2 linked regions of the Anolis sagrei genome follow. The protein of the gene in region 1 interacts with the protein of each later gene in a pairwise test. Links are inferred from orthologs where the notes say so. Each region holds a gene or a part of one and is shown on either strand. Other genes may lie near its edges.

Evidence for each region. The genes of interacting proteins can lie anywhere in the genome.
Region 2: the proteins of YWHAB (region 1) and BAD interact in binary tests that used the Homo sapiens proteins (3 or more experiments, as listed by UniProt). The link is inferred for Anolis sagrei from reciprocal best matches to the Homo sapiens genes YWHAB and BAD.

Annotation. Positions count from the first base shown.
Region 1 is NC_090024.1:217,747,958-217,756,737, forward strand, and holds the start of YWHAB (14-3-3 protein beta/alpha), read right to left. Parts: upstream 3,817-8,780; 5' UTR 3,669-3,816; intron 1-3,668. UniProt on the Homo sapiens protein: Adapter protein implicated in the regulation of a large spectrum of both general and specialized signaling pathways. Binds to a large number of partners, usually by recognition of a phosphoserine or phosphothreonine motif.
Region 2 is NC_090032.1:16,529,241-16,537,397, reverse strand, and holds the start of BAD (bcl2-associated agonist of cell death), read left to right. Parts: upstream 1-4,134; 5' UTR 4,135-4,247; intron 4,248-7,865; 5' UTR 7,866-7,937; coding exon 7,938-8,076; intron 8,077-8,157. Other genes in the region: integral membrane protein GPR137, read right to left, coding at 1,442-1,840. UniProt on the Homo sapiens protein: Promotes cell death. Successfully competes for the binding to Bcl-X(L), Bcl-2 and Bcl-W, thereby affecting the level of heterodimerization of these proteins with BAX. Can reverse the death repressor activity of Bcl-X(L), but not that of Bcl-2.

The sequences.
Region 1 (8,780 bases):
TTGCCCCAATTCTGTCGTTGGTGAGGTTCAGCATGCTCTCTGATGGTAGGTGAACTATAAATATCACTAACTACAACTCCCAAATGTCAAGGTCTATTTTCCCCAAACTCCATCTGGGTTCATATTTGGGCATATGGAATATTCGTGCCAAGTTCCCAAGGGCATCCGGGATGCCCCAACTCTGACAATTTTTAGGAGGAGCCTGAAAACGTGGTTGTTCCAGTGTGCCTTTCCAAAATAATTAATTTCTCAGCAATATGCCCTGAATGTGCACTGTATTATTGATTTAGGATTGATTGATCTGCACGCCCTAACCCCTCTGAAAATCTCCATCCCAGTTATATCCTACCTTGCTCATTTCCAGCATAATTTTTTTAATTTTAATTTTACATTTGGCCCAGCCAAGGGTTTTAAATGCTTGTTGTGTTACTGTACTGCTTATATTTTATTTTTGTTTATAAGATGTATTTTAACTGTTTTGTATTGTTTGTTTGCTATTGTTTTATTATTGATGTGTTGTGGTCTCGGCCTCATGTAAGCCGCACTGAGTCCCTTGGGGAGATGGTAGCGGGGTATAAATAAAGATGATTATTATTATTATTATTATTATTATTATTATAAGTTTGGTCCAGATCCATCATTGTTTGAGTCCACAGTGCTCTCTGTATGTAGGTGAACTACAACTCCCAAACTCAAGGTCAATGCTTACCAAACCCTTCTAGTGTTTTTTGTTGGTCATGGGAGTCCTGTGTACCACATTTGGTTCAATTCCAGAATTGGTGGGGTTCAGAATGCTCTTTGCTTGTATGTAAACTATAAATCCCAGCAACTGCAACTCCCAAATGACAAAATCAATTTTTGAATGATGGTCACTCCTTGGGTTAGTAGGTGTCTTGTGGCCAAATTTGGTGTCAATTCTCCCAGTGGTTTTGGAGCTATGTTAATCCCACAAACGAACATTACATTTTTATTTATATAGACTAGCTGTCCCCTGCCACACTACTGTGGCCCAGTCTGGTGATCTGGAAAATAAAGTAATGAGAAAGTGTTGGTTTCTAATATATGTAATTCCTTTATGCTTGTGAGTAAACAGTATTTCTTGTTGTTTCTTTGTCAGTGTTGATGTGGAGAGTGTCTGGTTTGCCTACTCTGGAATATGCAACATATCATAGTCATTCTTTAAGGGTCTCTTTCAAATCTATGATACTATCTCTCTCTCTCTCTCTCTGTGTGAGAATCATATCTATCTCTCTATATTTATGACTGGATGGCTCTTTGTCAGGAGGGCTCTGATTACATTTTCTTGCCCTGGTGAAGAGAGTTGGACTGGATGGCCTTAAGTATTTTCTGTTGGTCATGGGGGTTCTGTGTGGGAAGTTTGCCCCATTTCTCTCTGGATGTAGGTGAACTACAACTCCCAAACTCAAGGTCAATGCCCACCAAACCCTTAGTGTGTTCTGTTGGTCATGGAAGTCCTGTATGCCATGGTCATGGGTTTGTGCTAAGTTTGACCCAATTCCATCATTGGTGGAGTTCAGAATGCTCTTTGATTGTAGGTGAACTATAAATCCCAGCAACTACAACTCACAAATGACAAAATCAATTTTTTTTGAGTGAAGGACATACATTGGGTTGTTAGGTGTATTGTGTCCAAATTTGGTGTCAATTCCCCCAGTGGTTTTTGAGTTCTGTTAATCCCACAAACGAACATTACATTTTTATTTATATAGACTAGCTGTACCCGCCATGAGTTGCTGTGGCCAACCTTCCCTCTTTCTCTCTTTCCTTCACTCCCTCTTTCCTTCCTTCCTTCCTGTCTTTCCTTCTCTACCTCGTTCCTTCCTTCCCCCTTTTTCTTTCCCTCCCTCTTTCTCTCCTTTATTCCTTCTCTACTTCTTTCCTTCCTTATCCCTTTACTTCTTTCTCTCCCTCCCCCCTTTCTTTTCTTTCTCTTTTCTCCCCTTCCCTCCCTCTTTCTTTCCTTTTTTCTGTATTGTCGTTTAGCTTTTTGTCATTTAGCTCTTTGGGGCTTTTTCAGTCCCTTCTGCTGTGTTTTTATGAGTCAAAGACATACATTGGGTTGTTGGGTCTCTTGTGGCCAAATCTGGTGTCAATTCCCCCAGTGGTTTTTGAGTTCTGCTGTGTTTTTCAGTGTTTATATGAGTGAAGGACATACATTGGGTTGTTAGGTGTCTTGTGGCCAAATCTGGTGTCAATACGTCCAGTGGTTTTTGAGTTGTGTTAATCCCATAAATGAACATTACATTTGTATTTATATAGATTATATATCACATATAATATTACTAACATGTTATTATTTTTGATGTAGTTGTGAATTTGTTTTTGGCCCGTTGGCATGTGGGGGGGGGGGGGGGGAGATTGTTTTTGTCTTTGTTCAGCTTCCCACAGCATTGAATATTTGCTGATGCCTGTTGTTAACCGCCCTGAATCCCCTCGGGGAGATAGGGCGGGTTATAAATAAAGTAATCTTATTGTTGAGCCAGGGCAACGAACATTACTCATTTATTTATATAGATTATTATATATCACATATAATATTACTAATGTGTTATTATTTTTGATGTAGGTTCTTGTGGGTTTTTTCCAAGGCTATAGGGCCATTTATATAGATTATTATATATTACATATAATATTACTAATGTGTTATTATTTTTGATGTAGGTTCTTGTGGGTTTTTTTCGGGCTATAGGGCCATGTTCTAGAGGCATTTCTCCTGACGTTTCGCCTGCATCTATGGCAAGCATCCTCAGAGGTAGTGAGGTCTGTTGGAATTAGGACAATGGGTTTATATATCTGTGGAATGGCTGGGGTGGGGCAAAGAGCTCTTCCCTGCTGCAGTTAGGTGTGAATGTTTCAACTGACCACCTTCATTAGCATTTGAAGGCCTGGCTGAGCCTGGGAAAATCTTTTGTTGAGAGGTGTTAAGATGTGCCTGGTTGTTTCCTCTCTGCCATGAAAGCCTTCGACAATACATTTTTGATGTAGTTGTGGATTTGTTTTTGGGATGTGAGGGGGGGAGGTTGTTTTTGTCTTTGTTCAGCTTCTCACGGAATTGAATATTGGCTGATGCCTGTTGTTAACCGCCCTGAGTCCCCTCGGGGAGATAGGACGGGTTATACATAAAGTATTCTTATTGTTGAGCCAGGGCCAGGCTGTGTCCATTGGATGGTGCAGATCATGCCCCCTCAGGTAGGGAGCGAAGAAAGGGCCTTTCTCTTCTTCTTCTTCTTCTTCTTCTTTCTCGGCCTGAAGCAGCGCGTGGCCTGAAGGGCTCGGTTTCCTTCCTTCCTTCCTCCCCTCCTCCTCCTCCGCCTCCTCCTCCCAGGTGAGCGCCCGGCCCTGGGCGGAAGAAGGTGACTCACCCAGAGGCAGGGCGGGGCCGCTTCCAGGCTGGCATCCAAGGCGAGGACGGAGAGCGGGAGCGAGAGAGGGAAGAAGGAAGGAAGGAAGGAGGCCAAGCCGGGAAACACCTCGCGACAAAGGCGGTGCCGCCGGCTTAGGCCCGTTAGGCGAGCGCCTTCAGAGCAACGAGAAAAGCAAGGCCTTCCCCAGAAGCCCACAGAAGAGGAGGAGGAGGGAGGGAAGGAGGGGAAGGCAAGCAATCGGCGGAAGGGCCGGGCCTGGCCTGGGAGAGGCCTCTCACTCACCTCAGGCGGGTCCCGGTAAGGCAGAGAGGCGAGTGAAGACGACTCCGGCTTCCCAACCGTGGCTCCTCCAGCACATATACACACCCTGCGGCTCCTGCAGGCAGGCACTTCCGGCGGGTGAGGACACGCCCTTTCCGGCAAGGACACGCCCCTCCTCCGGCTCTCCCTCCCTCCGCTTCTCCCATTGGACCAGCCGGGCCGCGGAGAGGCGGGAGAGGATGCCGCGCGGTAGCCATGGCAACAGGGCACGATGGTTTCGTCCTTCGCAGGGGGAGGAGTTGAAACAAAGACCAATCTTTTCAACACCCCCCCTCTCGTTCCTCCCACGTTGAGTCTACTTATTAGGCCTCACACCTATTCTTGGTTTAGCCCAGCCCTGTTTTTAATACGATCTGAATCAAAGAAAATGAAGGAATTCAACCCTTTTATACGAATGGTATGTTCCGTCTTGACTAGATCTGGCTGTAGGTTTGGTTGCAGCCATACCAGTGTTCTTCCCCATGCTTTGTGCTTAGAATCACAGAGTTGGAAGAGACCTCATGGGCCATCCAGTCCAACCCCCTGCCTAGAAGCAGGAATACTGCATTCAAAGCACCCCTGACAGATGGCCATCCAGCCTCTGTTTACAAAGATATGACTGACCCTTGGCCAAACTGGCTGTGGCTTTCAGACAGGCCCTATATCCAGGATCTGTTTATCTCAAAGCCCTTAGAATCATAGAATCAAAGAGTTGGAAGACACCTCATGGGCCATCCAGTCCAACCCCCTGCCTAGAAGCAGGAATATTGCATTCAAAGCACCCCTGACAGATGGCCATCCAGCCTCTGTTTACAAAGATATGACTGACCCTCGGCCAAACTGGCTGTGGCTTTCAGACAGGCCCTATATCCAGGATCTGTTTATCTCAAGGCCCTTAGAATCATAGAATCAAAGAGTTGGAAGAGACCTCATGGGCCATCCAGTCCAACCCCCTGCCTAGAAGCAGGAATATTGCATTCAAAACACCCCTGACAAATGGCCATCCAGCCTCTGTTTACAAAGATATGACTGACCCTTGGCCAAACTGGCAGTGGCTTCCAGACAGGCCCTATATCCAGGATCTGTTGACCACATTCCTGTGTACTAACCCACACGATCTCTTCGATCATCTGGATAGGCCCTACTCATGCTCCCACCTGCATCGCAAGCATGATTGGTGGGGACGAGAGAAGGCCTTCTCGGTGGTGGCCCCTCGTCTCTGGAACTCACTTCCTAAGGGCATCAGGCATACCCCAACTTTGGCAGGCTTTAGGAGGAGCTTGAAAACGTGGTTGTTCCAGTGTGCCTTCCCAGAATAATGAACCCTTAGCATTATGTCCTCTAAAAGCACTTTATACTAATTTAGGCTTGCTTGTATGTTTTCACCAACGCCCTACCTCCTCTATCTTGTTTATGCCCAGCATTATTTTTTTAACTTTAATTACATTTGGCCCAGCCATAGATTTTAAATGTGTTTTGTGCTATTGTTCAATGTTTGTGCTATTTATGTGTGAGTTTTATTTTTAATTGCTTTGTTTTAGTATTTGTATTTTGCTTTGTACTGTGGTTGTTATTGCATGTATTGATGTATTCTGGGCTCGGCCTCATGTAAGCCGCACCGAGTCCCTTGGGAGATGGTAGCGGGGTATAAATAAGTTTTATTATTATATTATTATTATTTATTATTATCTCAGAGCCCTTCCACACAGCCATTAAATCCAGAATATCAAGGCAAAAAAAAAAAACCCCCACAGTATCTGCTTTGAACTGGGTTATCTGAGTCCACACTGCCATATGGTCCAGTTCAAAGCAGAAAATAATAAATAATTAAATAAAGCAGAAAATGTGGGATTTTATTCAGCTGTGTGGAAGGGGTCCCAGATTATCTGACAGTTGGGACTCATATAATCCAGTTCAAAGCAGAGATCCTGGGATATAGAGCCTGTCTGGAAATGCCCTGGGAGTTAGAAGTACTCGAAATAGTCAAAGAATGGGGTTGATTGATCCACACTGTTGAAATAATGCTGTTTAATCCCACTTTAACTGCTATGGTTTAATACTCCCTTTATCACAGGCAAGACTTGTGGGAATGAGGGAGAAAGCCTTCTCCGCTGTGGCTCCCCGTCTTTAGCACTCACTACCTGGTGAGATTAGGCAAGCCACCTCCTTAGCAGACTTCAAGAAAAACTTGAAAACCTGGTTTTTCTGATGTGCCTTCGGAGAGTGACCATTTATTCCACTTCTCTTTGCCCCATTTATAGTGTTGCCCCTATGTTGCATTTTCCTCTGCCCTAGACTGAAAGCCTTACCCCACTGTTTTATCCTTACTGGGCTCCCCTTACTTACACATTTTCTATTCCTACCTCACCCAGGGTTTTTATTATATTATCATTTTATCTTGTCTATCTGGCCTGCACTTCCAATTTGACTTTTATATGGTGTTAATTTGCTCTATTGTTTTATGTTGCTACTGTACTAATTAGTTTCTGATGTAAGTTTTTGTTTTTGCATTCTGTATTTTATTGTGTTGTATTGTATTTTTTGAGATTGGCCTCATGTCAGCCGCCCCAAGTCCCCATTGGGGAGATGGTGGCAGGGTATAAATAAAGGTTGTTGTTGTTGTTGTTGTTGTTGTTGTTGTTATTTATTATTACTATAGAGTCGAAGTAGTTGCACCAGCTCTCTTTGGCAGAGAAGGCTAAAAAAAACTTGTAAAATTACAACAGCCTTGATTTCATAGCTGGTAGTCACGGCAGTTAAAGTGTGTCAAATTGCATTAATTCTACAGTGTAGAACAGGCATGGGCAAATTTCAGCCCTCCAGGTGTTTTGGACTTCAACACTCCTAAAGAAAAGTGAAATGTAAAAGAGAAAATGGTGACAAATCTGAAAGCATTCGTTGATCTGTTCATTTGAAATACCATTATTGTTCATTTTGTGAACCTTATGTCTTCTCTGTTTTTTCTAACTGTAGGAAATGCTGATGTAGAGACAATTATAGTATGTTATTTCAAAAATGCTTTTTACTTTGTCATAATACCTTGCAGTGCCATTGAATGCACTTATGCGTTATGTATCATACTTGTTTAGACATGCCTTTAATCTGGTAGTTGAGAGTGGCTTGTAATATCAAGCAGACATTTACAATGCAGCATTCCAGGCCCAAACCAAAACAAGGTGGAGGTGTGTGTGTGTTCATGCATATATTCACATGTGATGAAGCTCTGGAACATCAACACTGAAAGTGGTAAAGAACCTCTGCCTTGCTGAGCCATAATGATAAATCTGAACTGCATTTGCTTCTGCTGAATTAAATCAAGCAGAAGAATGGATCCTTTTTCAAAACGATTATGGTTCAAACAGGTTGGTGGGCAATTTCTGAAGCAGATAAATAACAGAGACAAATGATGTGCTCATTCTGGAGAACGGTTCAGTGTTAAAGTATACGCTTTCAATTTTGGACCTCTGGGTAGGTTTACAAAACAGTCTTGTCTGAAATTGTAGAAAACTGCTTATATTTGTTCATGCTTTGTTAAATGACCCAATAGTTTGACTCTGTATCATGTTCCTATGTTCTAGATGACTCATCAAGGTCTAGAGCAATTAGACACAGAAGGAAGCAAATGAATCTCTCCAGCAGCTTCTCCAAGGACATAGTGCTCAAAGTAATTTATTCCAAGCTAGAAAAGTTTGCATTTGGTGTCAAGGTGACCTTGATGATGATGATGATGATAATGAAAACTTTATTTATATACTGCTCTATCTCCCCAAGGGGGGACTCAGGGGGACTTCCAAATAACATCACCGAAACATACAAGTAATCAGCATAACATAAAATTAACAAAACAACATAAGCATAAAATTATCACAATAACACGTGTATATTAAAAATAATCCTACCTGTTTAGCAATTAAAAAGCTGGGCCAAGGCTAGTGCTGGGAATTAAGTATAACAGGCCAACAGCGATAGTAGGTACGGGTCTGTGGCTGCTCATTTCCAGGGCCTATTAGAGGGATGACCGGGGTAATAGGTAAGAAGTGCAAGGCCATATTTCACAATGTTTGGGGCTGGACTGGAACTGGTCATTCTCAAAGGCTTGTTGAAACCACCAGGTCTTCAAGCTCTTACACAAGGAGGGGAGGGATGGGGCCTGTCTTATTTACCTTGGAAGGGCATTCCAGAGGCGGGGGAGCACTACTGAGAAGGCCCTCCATCTCGTCCCCACCAACTGTATTTGTGACAGTGGTGGGAGCAAAAGGAGGGCCTCCGCAGAAGATTAGTTCCTTCAGTCACCTCATTCCCTCTATGCTGACCGTGGTGGTTTGGAGCAGTCCGGCTAACCAGTCTCTCCACTAGTCTCTCTAATGGTACGCCTGCAACCTGCTGCCAGATCTCCCAGATCAAATCTTTTGTCACCTGCAGAAAACATGCTGTATATTTAACATACTCTTGCACAGTGTGGCATTTATTTACTTATTTACTTTATTTATCCCCTGCCTTTCTCCCCAAGGAAACTCAAGGTGGTTAACAACCACACACTCAATTTAAAACAAAGCAAATACAAAAATTAAAAATCAACTAAACAGTACTGTGTGTTTTAGGTTAAAAATACAATTAAATGCAATAAATACAATTAAAATGCATCCAAAACACACAGACAAATCCCACCCCCACTCCCACATCCTCCCCTGCAACTTGCCTCTTATCCTTCCCCAAGTACCTGCTGACAGAGAAAAGTTTTGGCCTGCTTGTGGAAGAAGCAATTTGTGCTAGATTCTTGTATGACTCTTGCACAACATATCTGTTGTTAGTCAGGAGCAAAAATCAGGGTTTGCTGCATCAGCAAATTTGATTCACCTTTGCTATTAGTGGAATTGTATGGAAAGTAAGGCGTAGGTGTGCCCTCCAGGCAGCTCATTGTTGGGTTTGTGTACCCAACCCAAAGCATCCAAGTGTGGGAGTCTATGATATCAACTGCAAAGTTCCAGTACAAGAGGGGAAAAAAGGATTGGGAGAAGGAGTTCAATGTGTGAGATCTTCCAGATTCCTTGGAAGTAAGATTAAGCTTAGACAATTAATATACTATCATTGCAT
Region 2 (8,157 bases), on another chromosome or scaffold:
GGAATGAGGAAGGAAAGAGACAAGGAAGGAAGGATAGGATGGTGTGAGAGAGGAGGGCCTGAGATGATGATTATGATAATAATAATAGTAACAAATAATTTAATAGTTAATAATAAATCATTATTTTTATTGGATACACAACAAAATTGGTACACAGCAAAAAAAGATCACTGTGCTGGCAGGTGGTCAGTGGTTTGCTCCTCTCTACATTTGCATGTCGTGGATTCCACTTTGTAGCTCCGTTTCTGAAGGTTGGCTCTGCATCTCATGGTGCCAGAGCGCAGTCTGTTCAGCGCCTTCCAAGTCGCCCAGTCCTCTGTGTGCCCAGGGGGTGTATCACGTGGTGTCTACATCCTACACCACTGGAGAAATTACACTGCTTAGCCGGTATTGCACCACCTGACATCCACCGGGAAGTAGCAGACAATAGTGAAAGGACCAAGGCAGAGACATCTCCAGCTCATCCCCTGTTTGGGTATCAGCCAGCACATCAACGACTTAAATCTAGAAATAGTTTTCTAAGATTTACAGAGGCACTTGCTGGAACACCTCAGCAAGCGAGAGTCCAAAAGTGGCAGGCTCAAACCCAGAACCTCAACCAATGGCTGATACCAAATGAGACCCCCCCCCCTCCCCGGGCACACAGAGGACTGGGCGACTTGGAAAGCGCTGAACAGACTGCACCAGACAGACAGACAAAATACAAAATTTGTGAGTTTGGTAGTTGATTAAATAGCCACTTGGAGTGCTTCTGGTGTTGCTGCAAGAAGGTCCTCCATTGTGCATGTGGCAGGGCTCAGGTTGCATTGCAGCAGGTGGTCAGTGGTTTGCTCCTCTCCACACTCGCATGTCGAGGATTCCACTTTGTGGCACCACGAGATGCAGAGCCAACCTTCAGAAATGGGGCCACAAAGTGGAATCCTCGACATGCGAGTGTGGAGAGGAGCAAACCACTGACCACCTGCTGCAATGCAACCTGAGCCCTGCCACATGCACAATGGAGGACCTTCTTGCAGCAACACCAGAAGCACTCCAAGTGGCCATTTAATCAACTACCAAACTCACAAATTTTGTATTTTGTCTGTCTGTTTGCTTTGTTCTGTTAGAAATGTAATATAATATGACTGGTTGTCCTGACATGACAAATAAAATAAATTATTATTATGTATTGTCGAAGGCTTTCATGGCTGGAATCACTAGGTTCTTGTGGGTTTTTTCGGGCTATAGGGTCATGTTCTAGAGGCATTTCTCCTGACGTTTCGCCTGCATCTATGGCAAGCATCCTCAGAGGTAGTGAGGATGCTTGCCATAGATGCAGGCGAAACATCAGGAGAAATGCATCTAGAACATGGCCCTATAGCTCGAAAAACCCCACAAGAACCTACAAATTATTATTACGCAGAAGTTGTTTTCTGGGTTCCAAAGGAGCCTGCCGACTCACCTTGTCCTGACTCACCTGGGCAAAGTACAGGTTCATGAGGGTCAAGGTGAAGAACTGGAGGCAGACGGGGCAGCAGTAGAGGAGCCAGAAGAAGAAGGGGCTCAAGCGGTTGGCCTTGAGGGTGTTGCGGAAGTAGAAGGAGAAGAGGGTGGTGCGCAGGGCAGCCCAGAGCAGGCAGAGGAAGAGGAAGACCGTCTGGTAGCTGAGCTTCTTGTGCCGGTAGAAGAGCACCAGCCATAGCTGGGCGTAGACCGAGAGGAAGAGAGCGGCGTAGAGGGCCGTGTAGAGTGCCGTCAAGCCCACCTTCACGGCTGGCGGGAAGGCCGGTGTGAGGCGAGAGGCGGGCACCACAACCGTACTGAGGTTGCCCAGGGCCTTCTCCATTATCTCAGGAGGCATCCCAACGTGGTTAGAAGCCTGGGGGGCGGCACCACCACGCTCTCAAGATGGCGGAGCTGCCCCCCAACAAGCGGGAGAGTGGGTCACATCCTTAGGGCCGAGAGAGCCTTCTTCAGCGGAGGAACCGAAGGCCGCTTCCATGAGAAGGATGCCCTTGAGGTGCCCTCACTTTAGGAGGAGAAAGAAGAAGAAGCCCTTCCCAAAAGACTGGTACTCCACTTAGGCCTCAATTCAGACCTGCCCTCAATTTGGGAACCTCCCCCAAGAAAGAAGGTGCTCCCCTCAAGGCTTGACACTTGCCCCAGGTGTTTCACAGCCTCACTTCCTGTCAAACACCTGCTTCCTCTCAACCTTCAGGTATCTACAACCCCAACTGGAGTCCTTTCCCCTCCATTTGCCACAATGGCAGCCTCAGTGGGCCCACTTCCTGTCAAACACCTCCCCTCAGGTACCTACAGCCCTTATTCCTTCCCCCGCCGGAAGCCCAGCTCGTAAAGAGTCCCCCTTTCCCCCACTTCCGGTCCAGATTTAGGAGCCCCCCTCTGCCTGTGCCTCAGCCTGGTTCCCAAAGCACCTGCTTCCCTGCCCGGGTCTGCGCCAAGTGCGTAAGGCCCGCCCCCTTTAAGTAGGCGGCGCTTTGTTACGTCAAGGGCGTAAACGGCGTCGTGAATGCAGCGGAGTGCGCAAGGCTGTCCTTAGAGTGGCCCCGCTCTTTCCGGGCGCCATCTTGAGTGTGGCTCCTTGAGCAAGATATAGGGCGCCATCTTGAGTGTGGCCCAAATGGCTCATTTAGCAAGGTGTAGGTTGACCCTACTCCTGCTTGTTTGCATGGTGGGCCTATATAAGGCAGCTTGGAAGACATTGAACGCCACTATAGGGGTCCCCATATATATAATATGTGGCCAGTATCCATTATATTACATTATATTATAGGGTGGGCCCATATAATGCAATCTGAAATACATTAAGCTCCATTATATGGATCTCTCTCTTATGTGTAGTCAGTGCCATATATATATATATAAACACACATACATATACATATAGGGTCATGGTAGACCCATATAATGCAATCTGGACTGCATTGGCCTCCATTACATGAGTCTCCATATATATTATATATGACCAGTACCATCTATATATATATATATATATATATATATATATATATATATATATATATATGGATGGTACTGGCCATATATAATATATACCATGACCCATATATATATATATTATATATATATATTATAGGACTAGGGTAAATGCATATAATGCAATCTGGAATACACTGAGTTCCATTATATGGATCTACAGATATATTATATATATAATATATATGTAGATCCATATAATGGAACTCAGTGCGTCTACCCTAGCCCTATAATATATATATATATATGACATTGACATATATCATGTATAATATATATGTAGATCCATATAATGGAGCTCAGTGCGTCCACCCTAGCCCTATAATATATATATATATATATATATATATATATGATATTGACCATATATCCTATATAATATATATGTAGATCCATATAATGGAGCTCAGTGCATTCCAGACTACATTATATGCATCTACCCTGGCCCTATAATATATATATGGCACTGACCATATATAATATATATGTAGATCCATATAATGGAGCTCAGTGGCCATATATATACATATGCATATACATATACTTATACATATACATATACATATACACATATACATATACATATATATATATATATAATAGGGCCACTCATATAATGCAGTCTGGAGTATCTACATATATAATATATATATATATATATATATATATATATGTAGATACTCCATTCCAACCCTATATATATATATATATATATATATATATATATGGGGTTGGAATGGAGTATCTACACACACACACATATATTATAGGGCCACTCATATAGTGCAGTCTGGAGTATCTACATATATATGTGGCCAGTGCCTTATAATACATTATGTTGCATTACATTGTATTACATAGGGTCAGTGTACGCCCATCTACTGCAGTTTGAACAGCATTGATTCTACAGTGCAAACCTATCCCTAGATCTGGATGGCTTGCTGCACAGGTTTAGGTCACGTGCTCCCAGATTGTGTTCCCGGGCAGAGCGCTCCGGGAACAGCCAATGGCAAGCCACCCCGGCGCGGAAGGTAGCCAATAGGAAACGCCGGGGGCGGGGCTTCGGGAATAAAAAATTACAAAGGTGGGCGGGGCCTGCCTTGCAGCGGGAGTCCCCGCCCCTTAGCCGTGACGTCGAGAGATGTGATTGGACGCAGGGAGTGGCAGTCCTCCATCGCCCGGGCGACAGTGGCAGGGAAGAGCCAGGCTGTAAACACGAGCCGTGTCGAGAGAGTGAGGCAGCTTTGCTTGAGGTAAGGAGGATCGGGGCCTGGGAGGGAGGCAGGATTATCATTAGATCTTGGCTCTAATCATAATAATATGCTGGAATAGATGGATTTGGAGCCTGGAAGGGAGGAAGGAGCAGGACATCAACAATGGCTGCACCAGGAAATGCCTCTGATCAGTCAGAAAGGAAGCCCAGGCTGGGATGGCATGGGAAGCACACTCTCCCATCACTGTGAGGGAGGTTTTGAAGCAGAGTCTGACTGGCTATCTGTTGGGAGGGCTTTGATGGTGTCTTCCTATGGCAGAATGGGGTTGGACTGGATGGCCCACTACCCAGCTCTATATATGCTGATGAGCTAGGCCTAACAACACAAGCAGAAGACTTTGAAACAATTAGGGACAGGTAATCATCTCCCAACAAAGGATTCCCCCAGGCTGTAAGAAGCCACACCTTGAAACTGCTAGGCCATTAAATGCTAATCAAGGTGGCCAACTGAAACATTCACGCCTACCTCCAACAGACAAGAGTTCTTTCTCCCACCCTGGACATTATAAACCCCACTTTCCCAGTTTCCAAGTGCCAGCTAACACCTCCCAACAAAGGATTCCCCCAGGCAAGCTTTCAGTGCTAATCAAGGTGTCCAATTGAAATATTCACACCAACCTCCAACAGACAAGAGTTCTTTCTCCCACCCTGGACATTATCAACCCCACTTGCCTAACACCTCCCAACAAAGGATTCCCCCAGGCAAGCTTTCAATGCTAATCAAGGTAGCCAATTGAAACACTCACACTAACCTCCAACAGACAAGAGTTCTTTCTCCCAACCTGGACATTACTCCACAGGTATATAAACCCCACTTGCTTAGTTTCCATGTGCCAGCTTACACCTCCCAACAAAGGATTCCCCCAGGCAGGCTTTGAAGCTGCAAGGCCATTCAATGCTAATCAAGCTGGCCAATTGAAACATTCACACCTACCTCCAATAGACAAGAGTTCTTTCTCCCACCCAGGATATTATTCCACAGGAATATAAACCCCACGTGCCTAGTTTCCAAGTGCCAGCTAACACCTCCCAAAAAAGGATTCCCCCAGGCAAGCTTTCAGTGCTAATCAAGGTGGCCAATTGAAATATTCACACCTATCTCCCAACAGACAAGAGTTCTTTCTCCCACCCTGGACATTATAAACCCCACTTGTCTAGTTTCCAAGTGCCAGATAACACCTCCCAACAAAGGATTCCCCCAGGCAGGCTTTGAAGCTGCAAGGCCATTCAATGCTAATCAAGGTGGCCAATTGAAACATTCACATCAACCTCCAACAGACGAGTTCTTTCTCCCACCCTGGACATTATAAACCCCACTTTCCCAGTTTCCAAGTGCCATTTAACACCTCCCAACAAAGGATTCCCCCAGGCAGGCTTTGAAGCTGCAAGGCCATTGAGTGCTAATCAAGGTGGCCAACTGAAACATTCACGCCTACCTCCAACAGACAAGAGTTCTTTCTCCCACCCTGGACATTATAAACCCCACGCTCCTAACACCTCCCAACAAAGGATTCCCCCAGGCAGGCTTTGAAGCTGCAAGGCCATTCAATGCTAATCAAGGTGGCTAATTGAAACACTCACACCAACCTCCAACAGACAAGAGTTCTTTCGCCCACCCTGGACATTATAAACCCCACTTGCCTAACACCTCCCAACAAATGATTCCCCCAGGCGGCCTTTGAAGCTGCAAGGCCATTCAGTGCTAATCAAGGTGGCCTAACTCCAACAGACAAGAGTTCTTTCTCCCAACCTGGACATTATAAACCCTATTTGCCTAGTTTCCAAATGCCAGCTAACACCTCCCAACAAAGGATTCCCCCAGGCAGTAAGAAGCCACACCTTGAAACTGCTAGGCCATTCAATGCTGATCAAGGTGGCCAACTGAAACATTCACGCCTACCTCCAACAGACAAGAGTTCTTTCTCCAACCCTGGACATTATAAACCCCACTTGCCTAACACCTCCCAACAAAGGATTCCCCCAGGCAGGCTTTGAAGCTGCAAGGCCATTCAATGCTAATCAAGGTGTCCAATTGAAACATTCACACCAACCTCCAACAGACCAGAGTTCTTTCTCCCACCCTGGATCTTATAAACCCCACTTGCCTAACACCTCCCAACAAAGGATTCCCCCAGGCAGGCTTTGAAGCTGCAAGGCCATTCAGTGCAAGTCAAGGTGGCCAATTGAAACATTCACACCAACCTCCAACAGACAAGAGTTCTTTCTCCAACCCTGGACATTATAAACCCCACTTGCCTATTTCCCAAGTGCCAGCTAACACCTCCCAACAAAGGATTCCCCCAGGCAAGCTTTCAGTGCTAATCAAGGTGGCCAATTGAAACATTCACACCAACCTCCAACAGACAAGAGTTCTTTCTCCAACCCTGGACATTATAAACCCCACTTTCCCAGTTTCCAAGTGCCAGCTAACACCTCCCAACAAAGGATTCCCCCATGCAGGCTTTGAAGCTACAAGGCCATTCAATGCCAATCAAGGTGGCCAATTGAAACATTCACACCTACCTCCAACAGATAAGAGTTCTTTCTCCCACCTTGGACATGATTCCACAGGTATATAAACCTTAGTATTACTATATTACAATCTTTTTATTATATTATATTGTATTTTATTATATATTATTATATTGTATTTTATCCGTTTTATACTTATGTATGCTATGCTTTTGACATGAAATAAAAAAAATAAAACCAGCTCAATAATAATTTTTATTTATTTATTTATTTATTTGTCGTGTCAGAGCAACCAGTCCATTATATATTAATATTAATAATAATAATTATATTAATTAATTATATTAATAATTATATTAATAATTATTATATTAATATATATATTAATATGTTAATTATTATTGTTATATAATTTTATTATATATTATTATATTGTATTTTATCCGTTTTATACTTATGTATGCTATGCTTTTGACATGAAATAAAAAAATAAAACCAGCTCAATAATAATTTATTTTTATTTATTTATTTATTTGTCGTGTCAGAGCAACCAGTCCATTATATATTAATATTAATAATAATAATTATATTAATTATATTAATTAATTATATTAATAATTATATTAATAATTATTATATTAATATATATTAATATATTAATTATTATATTAGTAATTATTATATTTATAATTATATTAATATATTAATTATTATATTAATAATTATTATATTAATAATTATATTAATATATTAATTATTATATTAATAATTATTATATTAATAATTATATTAATAATAATAATAATAATAATAATCTTTATTTACAACCATCTCCCCAAAGGGGACTTGGGGTGGCTAACATGAAGCCAAGCCCAAAAATAATACAACATAATTAAACACAAAACCGCAAAGGGGGAAAATCATAACAAAATATACGAAATATTTCTAGCTCATTTAATTTTGTACCTTTCCGCTCAAAAAGTATTCTCGACGCCTGAGAGGCAATTCCTGTCCCGACATGTTAGTAACCGGAGCGAGACCTGAATCATGGACTTCCTGGTTTGCAGATGAGCCCTTAGTCACTATTTCCACTCTTGTTTTGACCTTCTTCCTCCTTCCTCTGCAGACAAGCTCGCTGCCCTGCTTCCCCCTGGAGAGCGGCGGGTCGCGGGACGGGGGCCATGAGAGCCCCCTGACCATGTTCCAGATTGCGGAGTACCATGACGACGACGCTTTCCCGACTGCCGAGAAGGAGCCGCGGGATCCTAAGCTGACCTGGCGGGGATCCTCAGGAGAGGCCAAAGGCCCAGGCAGCCCAAACAGCGCTGAGAATCCAGGTAGGGCTCCAACAACAATACTTAAACCGCTTTGAGTCCCCCTCGGGGTGAGAAAAGCAGTACACAAATACTGTAAATCTA